2 linked regions of the Tribolium castaneum genome follow. The protein of the gene in region 2 purifies or fractionates together with the protein of the main gene of each other region. This does not show direct contact. Links are inferred from orthologs where the notes say so. Each region holds a gene or a part of one and is shown on either strand. Other genes may lie near its edges. The genes, in order: negative elongation factor A and NELF-B.

Region 1 (6,248 bases), on a different chromosome or scaffold from region 2:
TCGTAAAGAAGAGGGATAATTTTATCAGTTATTGTTATGAACATTTTTTTTTGTTTCCGCTTTCGTATAGAGATTGCATCAATTATCTAAATTCTGTTAAAATGATCATTGTTAGAAAAGTATTTGTGTTTGCTATAGCCGGGTATAGCAATTCGAATATCGCAGCAATTTTCTCGAAAACTTAGTTATTTTGAAAAAAAAAAAAACTAAACCGTTTCAAATGAGTCGATTGTAATATTTGCGGGGTGATGCAGTTGTAAACGTTTTATCATTTAACGCTCTCGAGGTACCTTTATCGAATTTTTTTTTAATTTAAGGCCTTTTTAGCGAAATAACAAGCTAATTTTTATCATTCTGGTTCAGCGGTTCTTAAAATTTAGGTCCAAAACAATTTTTTGAAAAAACTCTGATGTACTTTACTTTACGATGCGTTTTCCTATTTCCCATTCAACTTCAAATTTTTGCTAAATCATTCCCTAACTTACGGGATAATTTGTTGATAGGTATTTATAATTTGCGTGAATAAGATTTCAACAAATTATGGCAAAAAATGACAAATGCGGAGAGATCACTCAGTATAGGTTTAGGTACCGTTTAAGCTATACGCCGAAAAGCTGAAATCAATTTAAAAAAAAATTTAATTTATAAGTAAAACAAAAAAATTACAACATAAAATTAAGTTTCTTTGTCTAAAAAAAAATTGAATAGTTACACTTTTGAATATGTTAATTTACTTTTTCCTTGAATAGTAACAAAAACTGATTCTCAAATTATAAAATATTTTTATTGTTATCCGAATAATTATAAATTTATAAATCTATCCACGATTAGGTACAGAGATTTCTTTTCCAGTGAGTTAATTTTAGCGTGAGCTTTTTTCTTGTGAGTTTTTTTCTTTGTGGGTGTTATTCTGTGTGGACTGTTTTTCTGTCTGGAGTTGTTTCCATATGAGGTATCTTTTAAGTGCGATTATTTCTATGTGAGTTTTTTCCGTGAGCTTTTTTCTGTGTGAGCATTATCTTGTGCGCTTTTTTCTTTTGCGCAATTCTTGCACAAAACACTCAAGCGGATGTTTCAGAATGTCCAATTTTTTTTTAGCAACACAGTATTAATTAATTTTAATTGTAAGGAATTGTAGAAAAATTTTCAAAAAATCACATAAAGAGAAAAATAAAGTATTTAATAGCAAACGATGACTATGGTGTGATTACTAAAGAAAAAAATTAAACAAGTTTTTGTCATACGAACTTTGGATGCCGTTTATCCATGAGATGACTCGACACACTTGAATCACCCTGTAGTTTTTTTATGTTACAAAATTTTGGGATTTGGGTTGGTTTCATTGTATTTCGTTCGTTTTCCAAACGATTAAAAAAAAGTAAACATGCGCGTAGCTTTTTATTCAGTTATTTACAAATTAGAATATTTACAAAATATGTACAACAAACTTAACGTTCAGTTTATCAAACTGTTTACCTAACATAACGTTACATTCGATTTTTTTAAACTTTAAAAATCGTAAATAAATATTTCTTTCTTACGAAGCATAATAAAAAACAATTCCTATGTTAAATAAATAACAAAAAAATTTTCTTAATTCCCAATAACAGCAGGAGCTGGTGTATTTTGTGGCATCTGATTAACAACATTATCAATATGTTTGTACTTTTTGATTCTCTTCCACTCTCCATTATTATAATTCATCTGGAAATGAGTCTCTGCGACCATAGTCAGGTAAGTATCGTCAGGTTGCAACACATTTTCCTGATCCTCTGACAACTTAATAGTGACAATATTCCCCAAATGAGGACAGGGATTATCCCTTGACCCTGCCATAAAACCCAAAATCAACGCCTTCTCGGGCCTTGTCACTTTGTTCGCAGTTCGGAACATATCCTGAGCTTCCAACATTTGCTCCCTCTGGTGAAAAAAAAAAACAAAAAATAGAATTTTTTAACATATACTCGTAATCAAAAACCCACCGTTAATGCTAAGCCCCGCCTCTGCAAAGCATTCGACGTCGTCTGTGGCTGGATCCTGATATGCGTCACAGTGGGCGTGGCCTGAGTCGTCCTCTGCGCAATCGCAATATTTGACACTTGGCCGACAGCCTTCACCGATTGGTCGGTCAAAATCGTCCTCTGCCCACTTGGCGTTGTTGCCAATAGGGGTGGTACAGGCCGCATAGTTGGCAACTGTGTCGCCGCCACTGTTGCCAGTTTCACGGTCGGCGTTGCCACCTGCGCTGTCGTAACCGTAGTTACCGGTGCTGTTACCGCAGTTGTTAAAATGGAAGACGCTGCTGGAAAAAAATTAATAGGAACAACAAACTTCAAATTCGAATAATTACTGGTTGGTGCGAGGATGGGCTGTGGCGTGGGCGGCGCGTAGGCTGGGGTGGAGCTTAAACCGGCTGCATAATCGGGAGTGGTGGTCGTGCCTGAAACAGGTGGGGGGCTTTGCAAGGCAGCATTTTCGGTGTTTTTCTTCGCGTCTTCAATTTCTTGCATCTTCTTTCGTTTTTTAGCCGCAGCGTAGCCAAGTGGTTGATCGGCTATGTCCAAGAGTTTGACTCCGCCTTCTTTGCGTCCGGCTGGAGGGCGGGCCAATGGGGGCCGATTGTTTATATTGTTGTTTAATGCACCGGAGCGGAAGCCCGATGTCGGGACTCTACTCGGGATTCCTTTCAGGGGTGCTACAAGAAATAATGCTACCAACTGTCAAATAAACAACGATCATGCATACTTGTATCGGTCATTTTGCGCGGCATGCCTCTCGAGCGCACTGGAATGACCGGAGCTGATGATTTTTTGAGATTTGAGGCCGCATCTGAAGATTTTTGTAATAAATCTGCTCGTAAAATTGCCGATTTTTGTTTCTTTTTGATGGTGAAGTGTTTAGTAGGCTCTGGTTTATGGCCAACCTGACAAAAAAAAGTTGTGATTGTGACAAGTGACACATGTCAGAGACTTACGACAGAGACAAGGGCTGATTTGTTTAAATAGTGGCACTCCATGGGTAGCATAACATTCTCAGCTTGTTTGCGAACCAGTTTCCGAAGATCTGTAACTAAATCGGTGAAAATGGGTCTCACTTCGTCCAAGTCGGAAATTTCTGTGTTTAGGGACCCCGTTGAAGGGTACGTTTTTAAAGCCTCAGCTAACATCGCGACCCACAATTCCGAATCGGCGACGGCCACATCGAGGATTTGCTCCAGCTCTAACTTCCACTAAAAACAAAGTAGCAAGTGAGTACGCCATAACCTCAAACAACTTTATTAGACGACAAAGTTAAAAGGGGCGCAACCAAGGGGTTAATAACGACAAGTGGAAACCGTGGGGGCTTTTATTTGTAAACATACTTCTTCGAGGTTCCTGCGCGGGATGTGAAAAAAACTCAACAAAAGCTTTAATTTCACTTGGGTTTGAAGATCGGGAAAACAGTCTTTGATGTTGCGTAACACTTCGGCGTTCAATTGCGAGCATATTGAGCCCCCCGTCCAGGAATCGTTCGAAATTCCGAGTTTATTGTGTAACCATAAAGACGTATCGCTGTCACGCACATTCGCCATTTTGCGTTTGGAACGGTGCTGCCAACAACCAGCTGACTAGCACTCAAAGCACTACAACAATACAGCGGGAAATTTAAACACTCATTTAGTTTCATACTTTTATTAACAGTTTATAACACAGGAAAATTATAATTGCTGTTCATTTGTTTGGCTAGTGTTAGCAGGCAAACGAAATAATTCCGATTTTGCGGATTCACATAACAATTAATCTGTTCGTTGGTATCGTCCATGATTACGGAATGTTGATTAACTTCGGGTAGTTGTAACAAACTTGCCGTACTTCTTACATAATCGGCGACTCGAGCCCTCGACGCTGGGTCCATTTCGACCACACACTCCTCCTCACACTTTTGTTTCATAATCCTGAAGGATAGATAAGTCGGGTCGTTATCACTCGCAACGACTTGAATTTGCCCCAAACTAATTATCCGTTTCACATTATCATCATCAAGATTCACAATAATCAAAGCATCGGGTGCCAAAACCAACCCAATTCCTTTGAACTCAGAATCGTTAAACATCGTTGCTTCAGTCGCAAAAAGCACATTTTTATAAGTCAGCGAGCTTAGTAACTTCCATTCGTATTTTAACATTGAATTTGAATCTAACAGATTCAGGTTTTTGACCAGGTCACTCCTAGGTTGCGGTAGGGGATTCCACCCGGCCCCTTGCAATAATCCTACAATTTTAATTTTTTTAAGTCAGTTTTGTAAATTTACGATTATTATACCTTGACCAGTCAACGCCACCAGTTCGGCAGCTCCACTCAAAGGCTTAGTTAAGACTCCCACTAGCCCTAATCCGACACCCGCTGCGAGTGACCTGGGTGATGCCCCATCGGCCATTATGCTCTGAAGCGGGTGGTGGGCGATGCCTCCAACAGCCCCCAAAAGACTGATACCGAGTCCCGTCAAGCCCTAACAGAATTTTTTTGTAATAGGTTGTAACCAGCTCAGTAATCAGTTAGTCACATACATCAAATAAGAATTGATAACTTATTAAGTAATTACATAATTACTTATTTAAAACCTGTGCAAAATGGTAAAAAATATAAAATTTTGAAATGAAATTTAAAATTTCTAAAAAGCTTTCTGTAACAAGACATTCTTTGATCTATTTTAAACTGTATTCCATTAGTCTATTACAATGGAATGGTAATATCCACTATTTGTGCACCCAACAAGGTGAGAATAAATAAAACAACCTCTTCGGTAAAGACTGATGAATGAGTGATGTACTGATGATGAGCTCAGAACGCAACTTTAATAATTTATTAAAATAATAACTTGTTTAAACAATACTATTGAATTAGTAATCTTTAACCAAAAAATGGTCGCAGTAGACTTCCATTTAAAACAATTAAATTTTGCATAACTCATAAACGGTATCGGTAAAATTAAAAGGAATTTATAAAAAAAATATTCTTCACAAATGATCACATTTTTAACAGTCTTAATAATACAAATTATTTTTTGTATTCATGCAAAAACGCTTGTTTTATCCATACTTTTGCCCAGCACTGTATGTAGACTAGCACTGTTCAACTTTTCGTACTGGTATACCTACTATTATTTACGAATTAGTTAAAAGAACGTAATTTTTTGACCATTTCGAAAAAATTCTTGAAATAAATAGTTACAGGCTCACAATAAACAAATAAGAAAATAAAAAGTAAATATTACGAAAAAATCGAGAAAATTAAGCTTCTAGAAGACTGTAAATAATATTTATCTCAATACAGGTTCTTAACTTATACGCATAGATAACTTAGGGAATGATAGTGTACACATTTGTTCCACCACAGTTAAAGAAGTCTAATTATTTTAAAAACAAACAAATACTAAACAATACTTTTCGAGCATTGAAACCTAATAAAAAGAATGAAGATATAAAAAAGGCAGATGCATATTTACTGATGTGTGATTAGATTAGATATCCTTTACTTTTATAGAACAGTATATATAATAACGAATACTGAAAAAAAATTCTAATAAAAATTTTTATTACCAAGATATTGCGTAATTTTACACTGCTAAACATTTAAATTTGAAGTAGTACTAATACCAATTAATTATTTTGACTAAGTTCCTAATAGTCCTGGTACAATGGTACTTCCTTAAATTGACTTTCGACAGAGGTAAGGAAAAAAAGTTACGATCTCGGGTATGATAAAAAATCACTTAAATGCAAAATAAAAAATGGAAACAATTTTTCTTTACGGAGATAAACCCGTTAATTTGAAAGAAATTAAAACATTAAAAAATAGTGACAAAATCAAAACCTTGTAAAATTTCTGTTTTTTTTTAATATATTTTTTTTCAAATTATTAATTTATGTATCCTCGTAAAGAAAAAAATAGCTTCATTTTCACTTATTTTGCATTTAATTCATTATTGAACATAACAATTTTATTAATCACCTATGTCGAATGCTACATGAAGGCACTAGGAGGCAGTATGTTATACCGAACTTAATTATAATCTTGGTATTATTTCAAATTTAAATGTTTAGTAGTGTACAATAACATATATTTCGGTAATAAAATTTTTTCACCATTGTAACGCTTTTTGCATCAGGATTCCATACTCATTTATTTAATGCCAAAAATTTGGGCCTCCCCTGAAGACTAACTAAAGAAAATACCTGCATAAATCCTTGCGTCACCCCTTGTGGTTTC
Region 2 (6,248 bases):
AAATTTGTCGGGGGGATCACGTGGAAAAGACCGTTATTAAAATAGTCGGTTCTTGTTGCACTTTGATCACAAATGAAATTATTGAGTCAAAGTTGCCAATTTTATTTCATGACTTGAGTCACCTTTTATATGGTAAAAATTCCAGAAAGTTTTATCTTTGATTAAAAAATTCTTATAGCTACAATTATTTACGACACTATCGGACTTGATAAGGAAAGTGGGAAAACGTTCGAGGATGATCTTCAAGTTGCACATTACTTGGAAAACATCCTTAAACCAACCGAAACCAGGAAAGAATTGTTCAACGTGTTGTGGAAAATCCACAACGATACGTCTAGTCTGACTAGCCAAGATTTACTCTACCGAGACCTAAAAGTGGTTAAGGGTGTCCCAATCCCGGGTTTACCAATGTTGGTTGAGCAATATTTAAGTCGTGAGGATGCAGATAGCGCTATTGCAGCGTTCGCGAGTGAATTCAAAACATCCAGTGTTGTTTTAATTGGGATTGACGCTAGTGGCGACGTTAAAAGAGACATTGCGGTTTTTTCTACCGATTCCACGTTTAAAAAAACGTTAATCTCGATTTTGAATGACAGTAAACATGACTTACGACTCACCGAGACTTCTGTAAAAAGTAAGAATATTGTGTGTTTCGGACAGGGCAATATTAAATTGACACGTAAATTTATTCTGCCTCTGGTAAACGATGCAGCTGTACAATGCCAAAAATAGGAAAATGCATTGTTAGTCTTTAATAAACGAAATTATAAATAACACTCTACAAAATTATAAAATACCACTGTTTTCATAACGTATGGTGATACGGAGCAGGCGTTGGCACACTCATTAGAGGCGAGTTGAGGTCAATATCCATTTCAAGAGGTACAGCAGTCTCCTCTTGCGAATTAATCTTAGTCTGAAGCGTTTCGTACAAATTGTGAACCTTTTCGCTGTGTTGGTGCGTCGGTTGCAGCGCTTTCATCAGCGTGTGTAAACGACTAGCCGGCAGTCGGGAATGTACATACCACAGCAATTTCAGTAAATGTCTTGTCACGTTCTCCCTCGTCAGCCCAGCAAAAAAGAATTCGTCGAAGAGAACAGTACAAAAATCCTCAGCTTGAAACTCCTCCGGATTATGAATAAGGAAAATGACCTGCGGAAACCACAACTTTGCAAATAATTAACACAAATGTGTGTACACGTACGAGAGAGTGGAGGAACGGGTCCTCAAAAGCCCGGTCGTCTTTACAGTTCGCCAAAACCGTCAAGACTCGCAGCAGCCCCACCCTGTCTTTAAGCCGGGCCACGTTCAGGGTGTAGTACATGGCGAGAATACTGGCGACTGAACTGTCTTGAATGTAGGCCTCCACTGCATCGGGCAAGGGCCCCGAATGTTCGATAACTGTGATAGCAGCTTCGCGTTCATCTGGGGGCAATTTGCCTGACAATTGCCGCACTTGGTCGTCGACCATGAGCGACATTAGGGCCGGCAAAAATTTCGTAACGACCTGACTGTCCAGTTTGGGCTCTTTGAAGTCTTGGGAGTCGATCATGACCCAGGCACTTAGACCCAAAGCCAACATTCGCAAGAGCAAAATTAAAATCGTATTGTCCTAAAATATTCGTATAAAAATTATAATTTTGTTTCGAAAATTCTCATTATTTACCCTCGGCATCCCTTCTACGTATATGAGATGATGCAGGATTTTTATGGCCGACGTGGCCAAAAAATTAATGGCGTAGGGGTCGCATAAAGTCATTGATAAATCGCCCAGCACCTGCTCTTGGCCCCTCTTAACGTTATCCAAAAACCCTTGCAACTCCCTTGAGCGTTTAATGTCGACATTTTTTTCCCTAATGCAGGCATCAAGGCACCACGTAAATTTATGGCATGGATCTATCGAAATTATATCCTGAACTTCCAAATCGTGTAAGGCCATTAATAATTCGGCCCTCAAAGTGCAGTAATGCACGTTTCGGGTCCGCAAAAACAAAGTGCGAAGAAACTGGAGCACCATATCGTACAATTTAACACTGTTTCCAATCATGTGTGCCAACTTCTGGACGACTTCCCCTTGGCGCCGCACCTTGGGGGAAGGCCCGAAGAACTGGGTGCTGATGTTGGTGTGATCGAACAGCACGTTCTCTTTTTCGCTGATGTACTGACTCAAGAGAGGCGAGACCTCATCTCCGAAGAGCGACTGGTTGTCCTTCCAGATCTGCCGTTTGACTTCTGTGTCAGTGTCGTTGTACAGTTCCCGATCTCTAACTAATATTTTCAAATAGTTGTCGTCAATCTGTGGTGTGTTTTTCAAAATCGCCATCACTATCGGCCTTAAAGCCTTCACTTTGACCACAGGGAAACTCTTTACGAGTAAATCTTTCAGCTTCCTGTCCCTTTCGCGTCCTTCTTGCTTGCCGATTTCATTGATGTGTGCGATTAGTTTCTCTCGGAGTTCCTGAACCAACATCGTAATTTTTTCATTAAAGGGAAATAAATACAGCGAGTTGGGAACTTTATTCGGGAATTTTTTACTAATGGAATTTATGTCTACATGAATGGCAAACTTATCTCGCTGGACCTGAATGAGGGCACATAAAACACTTTATGTTTTGACGTTTTACTACCAAAGTTGGTTTTGTGAGATTACACGTTTATTTATGTATCTAATAGAATGTAAACCAACATTGCGTTTTATTACAAAACTTTTGTTCGTAACAATGCGGTTTAAAGCCAAAAACAATAAAATGTTTTTAAAAAAAGTACAATTACTGCAATCAGAAAAAAATCACAACAATTGAATAAGGAAATACGGTGTTAATACATTTTAATTGAAAATCAATAAATCCAGTTGTAAATTATGGAGTAATGAACGAAACAAGACACCAACCAAAAATGAGTCACATTATCGACCAACTCCTGAGCGCATTTTCATACAGTTTGCACCATAAAAGCAATTATAAACAGTTTTATAATTCTTATTAAGTAAAACCATGATACATTAAATACCATCTGATTTTCGGGATGTACTCGAGTAATAATCACATTCAAAACAACATTTAATTTAAATTTCATAATTATTATTATGAAAACATTAAAAACAACGTTGAATTTGACTTTTACCCTTTTTTCTAACTCAGATTTTCCTGAAACATCAATTTTTAGGAAAATGAGACGATTATTTTCAGGTTTTAGTCGTTGAAATTTGTTGAGTTTGAAAATCAACCCATTGAGGTCGTTTTAACACAAAAATGGAAAAATAACTTGTTTTTAAGCCCACTTTAGCTATTAAAACGTCGATTTTTTATGAAAAATACCCTATTTTTTATGTCCTTTTTAAAATGTGAGCCAGATTTTAATGCTAAAAATAAGGAAAACTAGGAAAGAGTGGGGTATAATGATCCCTCGAAAAATCCCTGTTTTGTAAAGATTTCTTAAAAAATATGAGCCAGGCGTAACAACTGAATCTGTGGTTTTTATTAAAAAAATAAATACATAGACAATAGAAAAATGACTAAGAAAAATCGGATAGTTTATAAACTATCTAGCTATTTTAGTTGAAACTGGGTTTTCTATTAGTTTGCAAACTAACCAGCTAGTGTACAAATTAGCCAAGTTTACACATTGACCGTAACATAGTTTAGTTTTAATTTTCTTTATTTGTTATTTTTGGGTAGGTATACGCCTTCCCCTTCACTGACGAAACTTATTGAACATTATTACTGTGTATGGTTTGTTTAAAATCAAATATATTGATGCCAGTTCTAGTGAACTTTAAAGTCCAACCCATCAGACATTGCCACTAATGAGGGGATTAATATTTAATGAGAATACTTTACCTCTACAACTGACATGTGAAAATCCAGTCTTCTCACCCCGTGTAGATCAAGTAATGGAAGCATTGGGCGTAATGAGGGTAAAAGTATCCCGTTTGTAACCTATAAGAAAGCGAATTTATTTACAAATCTATGGATAAAATCATGACAAAAAGTACCTGAAACTCTTCAATGGCTTTGAGCGGATCAGTGCAACTAGTTAAGGCATGTTTGAGGAAGGTGGGCCCGTGTATATTGAGGGCTTCCAAAGGGAAATCGTTTCTGGATGAAGACATTTTGCAGTACGAATCCTTACACTAGTAAAACATCAAATCGACGCAGTTTATCACTTAAATTCGGTGTTAGTATCACAGAGATTACAATTACACATCTCAATAAATATAAACACACAGCTTTCATAACCCATTATGAAAATATATTGTCAAAAAACACACCATTTGCTGTCAAAAGCGTCAAACAAAACAAAGGTCTTTCACCTATTTAAAATGCTGCGCTGTGATTGGTCGACGTCAAATACAATAAGAAGCGGTAAAAGCAGCACTATTCTAATAACTTCCGGTTTTTCAAAAGGCGAATTTTCAAAGTGACTCTGACAGTTGTCAGGAATTTTCGGCGATGCGTTAGGAGCATGTTTACATTGTGTAATATCGGGCAATTGGCGGAATTACGGTGATTTTGCGGTAAATTACGCCGAGTGTGACGACGTTAAGTGACGTAGAAATAGACGCTAGGTTGCACTAGTACGCAGATTTGGGGGAAGCCTATCAAAGCTTGTTGAAGAAATGGCATTCTTTTTGACACCCAAAGGCCTATAGTGCGCTAAATGTGGCTGGTTATCCGCCGTTCGAGTCGTAAATTCGTTAATTCATGGCTTTTTGGGGAGTTTCGTCGAGATTAATGTGAATTAACAACGTTACATGTATTGATCACCGTATAGGTTATGTTTCCAACTTTCATTAGCATCCTAGGTGTGTTTACGGAAATTCGCCGATTTGGCTTCTCAAGTGCTGTTTTCCCTAATTCTGGCCGTTGTTTCAGATATTCAATCATGGTGGGAGGTTCCAAGCATTGCACATTTTTGTTCATTGTTTCGAACAGCATTTAACCTTTTGGATTTTGATATCGAGGTAAAACCACGCAAACAATTCCTGCGTTCGGGTTTTGATTCGTTTTGCTTTGATCTAGGATTTGGAGGAGGCTCTCTTGACTGATGGGACGGAGGAAACCTCTTGGCTTCAAGAACTGATCGTGAGGCTTCTCAGTGGGTGCTTGCCGAACAATGAAATCTCAACGTTCAATTATCAGATGTTCCTGAGACGTCTCTTTCGCCAGAAATGTCAGGAACATGATCAATACAACCCATTTAACACAGACGTTGATTTCCAATTGTTACCTTTGAGAACAAAAGTGGACATTTTACATGCACTCTGTGATTTTCGTTTAGATGCTGATGATGTGCTTGACCAGCTGAAAAATTTAGAAGCAGACAGCTTGAGGGTTGAGCCCCTGGGTTATGACAGTAACGAATCTGCTTACTGGTATTTTTACGGTACTAGACTGTACAGAGAGGACTTTAAAACCAAGAATAATAAGAAGAAATCCGTGTGGCAGGTTATTTGTTTCACTGAAGACGATTGGTTTCAACTTAACAAGAAATTTAAAAAATCGACTGCTAAGTGTGAAAGAGAGTTACATCGTACTTTAAGTGAGAACTTCTTGCCTGAATTGCCCAGATTGTTCCGGGAAAAGGAAAGACTGGCCAGGAAGCGTCTGCTGGAAAATCAACCGAGACGCACTTCTCGACGTTTGAGAAAAGTAGTAAGAAGTTAATTATTTAATTTTTTTACAAGAGATTATTACAGGAAAATACAACTGAAAAAGAAGAAGTAACGTGTGAATCGCCGAAAACCAATCCTCTTGAAGAGGAAGAAAGACAAAGAAAGCGCGATTTGGAAATCAAGAGAAAAGAAGCTTATGAGAGAAGTAACAGACTTAAAGAGCAGAGCGAAGATAGCCAAAGTGAGGACTCTGAAGTACGGTATGAGATGGGCGGGACTAAAACGCGACAAAAGAAGTCCAAAGGAAGACAAAGAAAATTGTCAACAAGTTCCTCTAACAGTAAAGGTAAATACGAAATTATCAATTGTAACCTTGAGATGTACAAGGTGCTATAGCTAAGACTTTTTTATTAAAACTTTATTTATAAGCTAAAAATAATGAATTACCAAGAAAACAAACTTACCTTGAAACTTAAAAAAACGCAAGAATATTAATTAAACAATTGATTGATGTATCTAATATTCTTTTATTTAAAAATCTACCTTTTCGAATAAAAATGGTCCGATTTATGAATTTCTTACTACTATTCGTATTTATAAATAACACTATATGATCCCATGATTAGTTAAAAC

The links.
Region 1: the proteins of NELF-B (region 2) and negative elongation factor A purify together in Homo sapiens (affinity purification with mass spectrometry; 8 studies listed by BioGRID and IntAct, counting the BioPlex papers as one, with this or other methods). This does not show direct contact. The link is inferred for Tribolium castaneum from reciprocal best matches to the Homo sapiens genes NELFB and NELFA.

The regions. Positions count from the first base shown.
Region 1 is NC_087395.1:19,625,417-19,631,664, reverse strand, and holds negative elongation factor A, read right to left. Parts: upstream 3,616-6,248; 5' UTR 3,572-3,615; coding exon 3,362-3,571; intron 3,230-3,361; coding exon 2,975-3,229; intron 2,924-2,974; coding exon 2,746-2,923; intron 2,696-2,745; coding exon 2,351-2,695; intron 2,303-2,350; coding exon 1,983-2,302; intron 1,921-1,982; coding exon 1,594-1,920; 3' UTR 1,386-1,593; downstream 1-1,385. Other genes in the region: intermembrane lipid transfer protein VPS13B, read right to left, coding at 3,682-4,250, 4,302-4,488, 6,215-6,248. UniProt on the Homo sapiens protein: Essential component of the NELF complex, a complex that negatively regulates the elongation of transcription by RNA polymerase II.
Region 2 is NC_087394.1:30,667,648-30,673,895, forward strand, and holds NELF-B (negative elongation factor B), read right to left. Parts: upstream 4,283-6,248; 5' UTR 4,113-4,282; coding exon 3,996-4,112; intron 3,940-3,995; coding exon 3,841-3,939; intron 2,460-3,840; coding exon 1,668-2,459; intron 1,654-1,667; exon of another isoform or gene 1,614-1,653; coding exon 1,206-1,613; exon of another isoform or gene 1,154-1,205; coding exon 806-1,153; 3' UTR 738-805; downstream 1-737. Other genes in the region: pn (exopolyphosphatase PRUNE1), read left to right, coding at 1-132, 179-732; uncharacterized protein dikar, read left to right, coding at 4,778-4,805, 4,876-4,964, 5,023-5,652, 5,700-5,961. UniProt on the Homo sapiens protein: Essential component of the NELF complex, a complex that negatively regulates the elongation of transcription by RNA polymerase II.